Linked DNA regions of Danio rerio. The protein of the gene in region 3 interacts with the protein of the main gene of each other region in a pairwise test. Links are inferred from orthologs where the notes say so. Each region holds a gene or a part of one and is shown on either strand. Other genes may lie near its edges. The genes, in order: kif5aa, cyth1b and itsn1.

Evidence for each region.
Region 1: the proteins of itsn1 (region 3) and kif5aa interact in a two-hybrid assay, tested with the Homo sapiens proteins (2 studies listed by BioGRID and IntAct). The link is inferred for Danio rerio from reciprocal best matches to the Homo sapiens genes ITSN1 and KIF5A.
Region 2: the proteins of itsn1 (region 3) and cyth1b interact in a two-hybrid assay, tested with the Homo sapiens proteins (2 studies listed by BioGRID and IntAct). The link is inferred for Danio rerio from reciprocal best matches to the Homo sapiens genes ITSN1 and CYTH1.

Annotation. Positions count from the first base shown.
Region 1 is NC_133184.1:242,829-246,488, forward strand, and holds part of kif5aa (kinesin family member 5Aa), read right to left. Parts: intron 2,616-3,660; coding exon 2,511-2,615; intron 2,061-2,510; coding exon 2,012-2,060; intron 1,927-2,011; coding exon 1,871-1,926; intron 1,534-1,870; coding exon 1,446-1,533; intron 1-1,445. UniProt on the Homo sapiens protein: Microtubule-dependent motor required for slow axonal transport of neurofilament proteins (NFH, NFM and NFL). Can induce formation of neurite-like membrane protrusions in non-neuronal cells in a ZFYVE27-dependent manner.
Region 2 is NC_133187.1:35,985,109-35,989,207, reverse strand, and holds the start of cyth1b (cytohesin-1b), read right to left. Parts: upstream 2,941-4,099; 5' UTR 2,707-2,940; coding exon 2,628-2,706; intron 1-2,627. UniProt on the Homo sapiens protein: Promotes guanine-nucleotide exchange on ARF1, ARF5 and ARF6. Promotes the activation of ARF factors through replacement of GDP with GTP.
Region 3 is NC_133176.1:50,305,172-50,307,678, forward strand, and holds the end of itsn1 (intersectin-1), read right to left. Parts: intron 2,329-2,507; coding exon 2,155-2,328; intron 1,927-2,154; coding exon 1,778-1,926; 3' UTR 660-1,777; downstream 1-659. UniProt on the Homo sapiens protein: Adapter protein that provides a link between the endocytic membrane traffic and the actin assembly machinery. Acts as a guanine nucleotide exchange factor (GEF) for CDC42, and thereby stimulates actin nucleation mediated by WASL and the ARP2/3 complex.

The DNA.
Region 1 (3,660 bases), on a different chromosome or scaffold from region 3:
CTCCAATAATACAGGATGAGCACAAGCTGAACTGGGCTCTGATGTAATGACAATTCTGAACACTGGCTGGTTGTGGAGTTGATCAAAAGTTCATTTTGGCTCATTGTTACGCGGGTCTGTGTTTTATTTAATTCATTTATTTATTTGTTGCAGGTGTCTGCTTGCTGCGCTTGAGTTGTAGGTGGAGTTTTCTACACGGCTTGTCCAGGATTGGATGAGGCCCGTGATGTCACTGGGGATTCCCAGTATATAAGGCTGACAGCAGTGGCGGCTCAGTCTCTCTAAGCTTGGTGGTGGCTTGCGCTCAGGCGGCCGGCCAGGATCCATCTACATGCCGCACTCTTTAGAGTTTTGTTCTTGTTAACCTTTTAGTTTTCTCTATGTGTTTTCTAGTTTGTTTATTTTGATGCTTTGTTTGTTTTCGTATGGTAGTGGAGTATTTTTCATAGGCACATTTTGGTATTTATTTAGTTTAGCGAAGGTAAGCAGCGGCCCGGATGACTCACCTGTTTTTTATTCCTTTAACGGGAGTTGTAGGTAAGATCTGTCCATTTAAAACAGCTTTCTTAGCTACCATACCTGTCTACATGATTTTTGTTAATGTTTTGTCATCTCTTTTGGAATATTTAATTTCTGGAAATTAAAGCATTATTAACAGGACGTCAATTTATTAACATTAGCGTCTGTGTCTTTTCATATGTTCAGCTCAAACCTTGATGTTGTTATTATTCGAGCCAGTTTTGAGTTTTGGGGCGTAACAGTCATTTTTATTTAATAAAGATTTTAATATTTTAATAACAGAGTTTTCTTCACTTGCATTTTAAAATATATCTTAGTCCACATGAAAACGTATGTGACGCATGTTAAGGGCATGTCGAACCAGCAGGGGGCGATAAACGTTTTCCACCAAACGTGGAATTAAAACGTATTTTCACAAATAAATTGCAAACAAGTTAATGAACGTGACAACAGAAGCGGATTACCGTCCCACCGTGCAAACAACGTGAACGTGCGTAAATCTCGCCTCATTTGCATTTGGTGTAAACCCTGTTGTGTTGGCCAATCAGGAAGACCCACACAGCACACATTGATGTCATTGGCTGTGAGCACAGCATTTTATTTAGATTTAATTGTATTGTTTAGCTTTGACAGTAAGTTTCCTGCTTTGCTTTAACCCTTGATTGTTTGCACTTTGGTCAATTCTGTTGTTTTTAAGTGTGATCTACATAACATTGAACTGAACTGAATTGTTTTCATTAAGTTTAGTTTTCAGTCATCTGATACTGCATTTTCATGTGGACAAACAGCCAAACACATCGAAAACAATGGTGGTTTTGAAAATACCTTGCGTTTATGTGGACAGGGCCTTTATATCGGTCTTGTTTTGAGGTTTTCAGACAGAGCTGAATACCATTATGTTGATTACTGATGGCTGAATGACTTACTGGTGACGGCGACATGCCGATTGGACTTTCCCTCATCGATGACGTCCATCACCTCCTCAGGACTGGAGACGAAGCGTTCGGTGCAGCCCTGGAGCACAACACAACTGCATTAACACACACACACACAGCTGATCCTGATTGAGCTGGTTAAAGAAACTACAATGTCTTCAGTTTCCATCATCACTGTCATAGCAGAGCAGAAGACGTGTCTTGCACATGTGAAGACTCTTTCTCTTTTAACCCCAGCTAATGCAAAACAGTGAACCTGAATGCCATTCAAGCAGTCTAAACTCCAGTGTTTTAGTGATGGTGACCAAACAGAAGCATCTATTCCTGACTATTAACATCACTATGAAATCCCTGAAGCTGACACACAACTCTTCAGTCAGTCCCCACAGTAATGAAGCTGCAGGTGTCACGCTCACCTTCACGTACGGGACGCGGTTCTTGTCCTCATGCACAGACAGGTTGGTCTTTGTGACTGAAGAGGAGAAGAAAGGCAGTGAGGAACAGAAAGATCACATTAGTGAGTTTAACACGCTGTTCTGTCTTTGTGCTCTACAAACCGTCCAGAAGATCGCGGATTTTCTCCATGTAGATCTCGAAGTAGGAGACCTGAGGGAAACCACACACAGCTAACATCAGACCAGCTTTAATTTATCACCAATGTAAGAAAGCTCTATTACTGAACTAAATGATAAAGCATTAACCTGATTTGACTCTTAAAGGGATTTTACAACCAAAAATCTAAATCTTCTCACACTTAACTGCTAATAAACTTTAACAGCACAGTTTTATTCTTCTGTTGAACACAAGACAAGATATCCTGAAGGATGCTGGACAAAATGATTTTCATAGCAGGAACAAAAACACAGTTGTTTCCCAGTGTATATTCCTTTGTGTTCAACAGAAGAAAAACACTTGGTTCAGAACAAGTGGAGGATGGAGAAATGATGACAGAAGGTGTATTTTTGGTTGAACTGTCCCTTTGAAACTGCAGTTTCAGGCTGGTGCAGCTTATTGTCCTGGGTTTCGGGGATGATGGGACGACTGATCTCTGTGTACCTTGATGTGGAACTCCAGGTTTTCATCCATGGAGAAGATGTGGTTGAAGATGTCCTCGGCGATGCGGGGAATGATGCCCATCTGCTGCGGGTCGTGAAGGTTTCCCTGATAGCACATCACAGTCAGTGAGATTTCTGAAACTCTGACATTTCTTTAAGTGCAGTTTTATATTAGTGTAATCCAAAGAAATTGAGTTTATTCTAGAGTAGGGTTAAACACGGACCAAAACTGCAAATTAAGAAGTGAAACACAGACATCACAATCTGTGAACAGAAGTAAAACCGCAGTAGTAGATGCACATTAAAAGCCAAATTAAAGTTTTAAGATAGAAGTTGAAGATTAAAGTGTGGAAGCCGTTCTAACATGTTTAATACAGACTGGAGAAAGCCAATCATTCACTATCGTCAAACCAGAGACATTTAACTGACACACTCATCTATTTAGGGGTGACGCAGTGGCACAATAGGGAGTGCTGTCGCCTCACAGCAAGAAGGTCTCTGGTTTGAGTCTCGGCTGGGTCAGTTGGTGTTTCTGTGTGGAGTTTGCATGTTCTCCCTGCCTTTGCGTAGGTTTGCTCCGGTTTCCCCCACAGTCCAAACACATGCGGTACAGGTGAATTGGGTAGGCTAGATTGTCCGCAGTGTATGAGTGTGAATGAGTGTGTATGGATGTTTCCCAGTAATGGGTTGCAGCTGGAAGGGCATCCACTGCATAAAACATAAGCTGTATGAGTTGGCGGTTCATTCGCTGTGGCGACCCCAGAATAATAAATGGACTAAGCCGGAATAGAAAATGAGTGAACACATCCATTTAATACATTTTCCTGCTGTCTTTTTATGTCATTTTGGTAAATGATGAATATTTTGTACATGCATATATGATGAACAATTCAAATGAAGGCACAGTGTGTAATTGTCTCCACTAGAGGGCGTGCATTCATTTTAATGACTGCGACTGAGTGTGGAATCATGGGAGTTGTGGTCTGCAGAAATCATGTTAATGGATGAGTAAATCTTTAACGCTTATTATCATGGTAAGCAGAGTAAGACTGAAAACACAGTAAATTAACCCATTCTGGGGTTCAGGGTTGCATTTGATCCATTTATATATTAAGTAAATGTATTGTGTGTTGTATTGTGTTGCGGTTGTA
Region 2 (4,099 bases), on a different chromosome or scaffold from region 3:
ACTGTCTCTCAAAGATTTGGATTAAATCACTTCACTATGTGTATTTGCTTTAAATCTGATCTTTTACCTTAATTTGTGAGTCCTTTGTTAAGGGTTTCAGGTGATATAAGGGTAAGGAAATGACACAAATTTATTTTTTGGTCAAACAAATCCTGTAAAAATCCACCAGGTCACACATTTGCAATGTTTTGTTTAGTTGAATATCACCATATTGTGTAAATAAACATATATGTACAGTATACCATTTCAGTTTCCTAAAAAAAGAAGTCCTTTTTCCTTACGTCAACTTCTTAACTTTTCTGAAGTGAATATAAACATGGCAGCTTTTTTGTTACAATTCATTAATCAATGCCAAATCCAGAGAACTGATAACAACTTTGAAGTAGAATAAAAAAGAAGCATTATTTTGAAAATGTTGTCATCATTTACTTTCAGACTTGCTGGAGTTTTTTAATATGAATATTATCAGGCCTTGACATTAGCACCTGCCAAATGCGGGTAGATTTCTGCTGTGGCGAGTTAGACAGACAGTCCCACTAGCCACTTTGGCTATTTGAAGATTCATTCGCCACAGCGGAATGAACCGCCAACTTATCCAGCACTTGTTTCATGCAGCGGATGCCCTTCCAGCCGCAACCCATTTCTAGGAAACATCCATACACACTCATACACTACCTGTACTGCATGTCGGACTGTGGGGGAAACCGGAGCACCCGGAGGAAACCCACGCGAACACAGGGAGAACATGCAAACTCCACACACGAACGCCAACGACCCAGCCGAGGTTTGAACCAGCGACCTTCTTGCATTGAGGCGACAGCACTACCTACTGCGCCACTGTTTATTTTTTTATTGTAGTTTTCTTAAAAGCAGGATTCGACAATAATGATGGCCCAATATTCAAGCAAATGTGATCTTAGAATCGAGAAGCAACACAACTGACAAAAATAGCTGTGTTCGTGCAAGCAAAAGAAAGCAAGTGAATACCGAATGAGAGAATGATCACGGTCACGCAGAGGTGATGTGATGCGAGTGACTGTAAAAAAACGCACGCACTCCTGTTTACTTGCACGAAGCAACCATGCCTAGAGAAAACGCAACTGGTGCGAACGGTTCTCTTTGAAATAGACTGGACAAAAAGCAATCGTGCACCCACAGTCCTGCTGCTTTCAAGAGCTAGAGATTTATATGTCTATATCTTTTTTTAAGCAGCAGCCGTCACTGCTTTCATTTTAATTATTCTTTTAACAGATTAACAGGGCTAACGTTAACCGTGTGCGCGTGATCATCCTTTCATTATCCCTCACAGTATGTTTTTACCTGCTTTCTTTTTGCTTACGGTTATTTTTGTTAAAAGGTTTAAATTGTCTTCTTTTTTTTAAAATAACATTGTTTTAATATGAGATTAACTCCCTGTTTTTGTGTAGTTAACTGGTGATCTGGGACCATTAGCCATGACAGATTACTGTGCATTTTTTAGATATACATGACAATAGTTCTTTTTTAAATGTCTTTTTTTAAAGAAATGTTTAGTTGAATTAAAAGCGCATGTTTACAGCTAGGCGAGGCAGTGGCGCAGTAGGTAGTGCTGGGTCGCTGGTTCGAACCTCGGCTCAGTTGACGTTTCTTTGTGAAGTTTGCATGTTCTCCCTGCCTTCGCGAGGGTTTCCTCCGGGTGCTCCGGTTTCCCCCACAGTCCAAAGACATGCGGTACAGGTGAATTGGGTAGGCTAAATTGTCTGTATTGTATGATTGTGTATGTGAATGTGTGTGTGGATGTTTCCCAGGGATGAGTTGCAGCTGGAAGGGCATCCACTGCGTAAAAACTTGCTAGATAAGTTGGCAATTCATTCCGCTGTGGCGACCCCGAATTAATAAAGGGACTAAGCCGACAAGAAAATGAATGAATGAATGTATACAGCTATATTTAGCTTGTTTTGACACATTTAAAATTTGTGGCCAAATAATACATTTTTGGTGTGATCAGAGATAGCTAAATTTGATAAATACTTAATTTCGAGCTCTGAAAAGTCATGTGAAATAAAAACTAATCGCAATGTGACACGGCTCATTAGCCCATGCATACTGAGCAAGCTCATACACAACACACACAGTAATTTTATCATGTCAAAGTCTAATTTATGCATATAAAATATATTTTCCCAATAACAAAAGTATGGCTAGTGAAAATGGCGAGTGGCTAGTAATGTTGGGAAATCTACTAGCCACAGTGGCTGGTGATCAAAAAGGCCAATGTTAAGCCCTGAATAATATGAATATAGCTGGAAAACTAAAACAATTGGCTTACATGGTATTTGGTTTTCCTACTATGGAAGTCAATATTTACAAGTTTTTCAGCTTTCTTCAAAATATATTATTTTCTGTTCAACAGAAGAAAGAAACTCAGGTTTTGAACCACTTGAGGGTGCCTAAATAGTGGGTAGATTTCATTTTGGGGTGAACTATCCCTTTAAACTATTTGGGTGAAAGAAACTTTGCTAACTTCATAAGCTAACCTTGTAAATCAAAGCACAAACATGTGAAAGTGAGCTCATCTCTCAACAAATCCCAGATTTCTAATACACACATTACTCCCAAAACACATGCACGTCAAACACCAAACCCACCTGCTGGAGGAGCCGGGTGAACCGTAGGACACAGAAACGCCTGAAAGCTGGACGCGCAGAGTTCACTCACCGTCCCCATCGCTAAACAATCCCTGATTCACTTTAAAGCCTACAGTTCGAATGTGAGAAGTAAGTCCCTTTAAGCACCAAGAGAGAAAAGACCAGCTACTTCCTCTTCAGTCCGAAAGCAGAACTTGTTCAACTGTTTATACTCTCGCCTCAATCATTCATTTCAATAGTATCCAACAGTAAATCCAGAGCAAAAGAGCTCGGATGCACAGCACTGCTCTCTTCACCGATGAGCGCCGCTCTCACAATCTCTCTGACTTCACTCCTTGTATTCTCTCTCCTCCCTCCCTCTCTCTCCTCTCTCACTCTCTTTCTCTCTACGTTCGGTTTAATACAAACTTGCATTATTGGCAGGACAAATGTTACATATGTATTGCCAAAGCATTTGTGTTTACAATAAATAGAACATATGAACACAAATGACATAGTAGTAGTGATATAAATATCTACAATATGTGTATATATATATAACAGTAGTATATTTAGCAATCAAGATTTTGGGACAAAACAATAATTCATTCTTTAATTTTCCTTCGGCTTAGTCCCTTTATTCATTAGGGATTGACACAGTGGAAAGAATCACCAACTTACCCAGCATGTTTTACACAGCGCATGCACTTGCAGCTGCAACCTGGGAAACATCCATACACAGTAATTCAAACAGACAATTTAGTTTATTCAATTCACCTATAGCACATGTCTTTGGACTGTGGGGGAAACAAGGGCATCATAGAAGCAATTGAAAAAATATAGCCTATCATTTGCGCGATGTGTTAATACCACAGTACTCTTTTTCATTTTACCCTTTAGCAGTCACAAGACTGAAACCTCGAGTTTAAGGCAGCACTCATGTCTCATCACAAAGGGGCAACCAAAACTGACACATAGGCCCAATTTTAATTCTACCCCTTAGCCCTTACCACTTTTTTTGCATGTTAACGTGAAGGGGTTGGGGTTTCCCAGTTCTCTTTAGCTTGAAGGCATAGGGCTAAGGGGAAGGGGTAGATACCTCACGAAAGGGAGATTTTACAGGACCACACTCGAAATCAAGGGGAAAATTTTTTTCCCAGAATACACCAGCAACATGGCTGCACATTTTTTGTCATTGCTACAAATTTTTACGACAAACAAGCACATGTTTTAATACATTCATAACCGTGTTCATGTTTTACCGTCATGCTTTAAAAAAAAAATATATATATATATATATATATATATAAATAAAATAAAAAAACGGCAAATTTCGCTATCTTTAATCCATAATAATAACTCCAATATTAACTCCTGTACAGCAGTCCCACAACATTCTGTCACTCGATGACACTCAAATACCCTGTCAGAAAAGTCTAGTGGATGGGAATGAGCTTTTCACAGTGTCTGCTATAATGATAATGTTGTTTTCA
Region 3 (2,507 bases):
GTGACCAGCGCCATGGCTGCAGAACCAGATGGCTGCCCGCCCTCATCGGACTATATCCACACCCCCTGTTCCCATCCCCTGTGGCAATGTTATGTCTTAACTGTGTGTTTATGTGCGGATTACTGGGCTTTTTTTTCTCCCTGGTCTCACATTGCCCTAATTCAAGAGCAGGGTGAGAGGGAGTCCCTCTCCTGAAATTTATCTTACTTCCGTTTTTCTAAATGCTACCTCCTGTGACCCGTTTTCCTCTGAAAATTGTGATGTTTGTGTACAATTGTGAACTATGGGGGTTCAAATTCACTATACAAAAGTGTATGTGACAAATAAAGGCCTGATTTGATTTGAGATGTTGGACTGAAGCAGCGAATATTAATTTACAATGACAAAGAGCAGTAGGTTTCTGAAGAACTACAGTGAGATTTCAGCTGCTGTCTGGGCTTTCACTGCTATTCTACACCTTCCCTTCTTCATGTGTTCAATACTCCCACCAAAAATTGGTGACGTTCAATACTTATTTCCCCCGCTGTATATTTGACATCCTACAGGTAAACGCTCCTGATGTGGTATTTCTGTCGGCCTCTGAGATGGGTCTCAATTTCTACAATAAATAAAAGTAGCAAAGACATAAACAAACAGGGCATTGTTCCTTTCCTCGTTCACTTTTGCGTGTATATATATATATATATATATATATATATATATATATATATATATATATATATATATATATATATATATCAAAACTGTCTTTTCATGGAGCGTTTGCGACCATTTCTTGAGACTTGCTCACATTTAATGGGCCCTCGAAAACATCTACATCCCATCACCGGTGTCTTTCAGTAAAAATAGATGAATATTGATCAACACAACAGAGGTTTGCCAGCAAAACCTGGGTTTTTAGTGTTAGGAACTGAAGATATGGAATAAAATGATGGAACGGCGATAATAAAGGTGAATCTTACGAAAACCTGTTTAATATTTGCATTAAATAAAAACGAGGCCTGCTTTCAGGATAATCATCTCATATTACTGTAGGTTTAATAAATTACATCTTTAAAAAATATGAATCAATATAAATTACAAGCGAGCAGACTACCATGAAGCATAAATAATTAAATAATAATCTCACAGGTATACGATTGGATTGACAGTAATAGATTTTCATGAGATTCACCCATTCACCGAAATGGCACATGATTTGGAACGTGTCGTTATTCAAGAACAGGGGTGTCCAAACTCGGTCCTGGAGGGCCGGTGTCCTGCATATTTTAGTTTCAACCCCAATTAAACACACCTGAGCCAGCTAATCAAGCTCTTTCTAGGTGTACTAGAAACTTCTAGGCAGGTGTGTTAAAGGAAGCTAAACTAACAGGACAGAGCTTGGACACCCCTGTTCTAGAATAATTCTGTATATTCTAAAATCAAGAGCTTTTAAGAATATTGTGTCAAATGGCACTACTGTTCATTAGAGCTCATTAAAACGACTCTTTAAGACTTACAGCATCCATCACACACGGCTCTACAGCACGTCCTGTTTTCATTTGCGCACACACACTTGACTTGTCTTAAAATGGACAATAAAAAATCCAGTCAGGATCACTCGGTAAGACTGTTACAGCATTTAGCGGACTCACAGACGCTTGTGCGGATACACACACATTCACGCACTGGGATTTATGACGCTGGGGGATTGTCACATTAGGCTGGTGGGCTTCACCACGGAGGAATGAGGGATGTGGTATCTGTGGGGTCGAAAAGGTCAGGTTAAATAATGCGCTCAGGGTTCATCGAAGAGCTGCAGGTCCAGTCGCACCACAATCTCTCCCGTCGGGACTTCGTGTAAAAGCAGACGCTTGGTGATGGGACCCTTCGAGCCCTGGTCCTTCTTGATGTCGGCCAGCCGAATCTCCGTCCTGCCCAAGAAATCTAACAAGAAGGGGAAAATAACGAGAAATGGTATTGAGAATGAAAAATACAAGTATAATTTTCAATTTTTTGTTGTTGTTTAAAGCTGCATTTATTTAAAATCTAGAAATACAGTAAACAGTGCAATATTGCGAAACACTACTTTTTTTTTTCCTTTTTAAATAAATTGCACATTTTTTATTTGTTAGTTTATTTAATTCATTTAGATTTATGTTGGAGTTTACTGACCGTCCGGGGAGAACTGATCCCTCTCAAACACAGTGACACACAGCACGTCCTGCTCCAGGTCTTTGATGAAGAACTGGCAGTTTGAGTTCCACTTGGGGTTCAGAGTGTCCTGAAGGGTCTTGGTGACGTGACACTGAGAGCCCATCGTCACCTCACAGTACGGGTTACTCTTACCTGCACAGACACCGGACACACATCAGGTGATCTAGTATCTGAGTGCTTATATAAGGAGAAAACGATTGTACACCTGAGATGGTGATGCAGAGAAGCTGTTAAAATCTCAAGTGTGCATTATATTCTAATAACTCAATCGATTCAGCTTATACAATGGTTACCACACCTAACGGCATCGT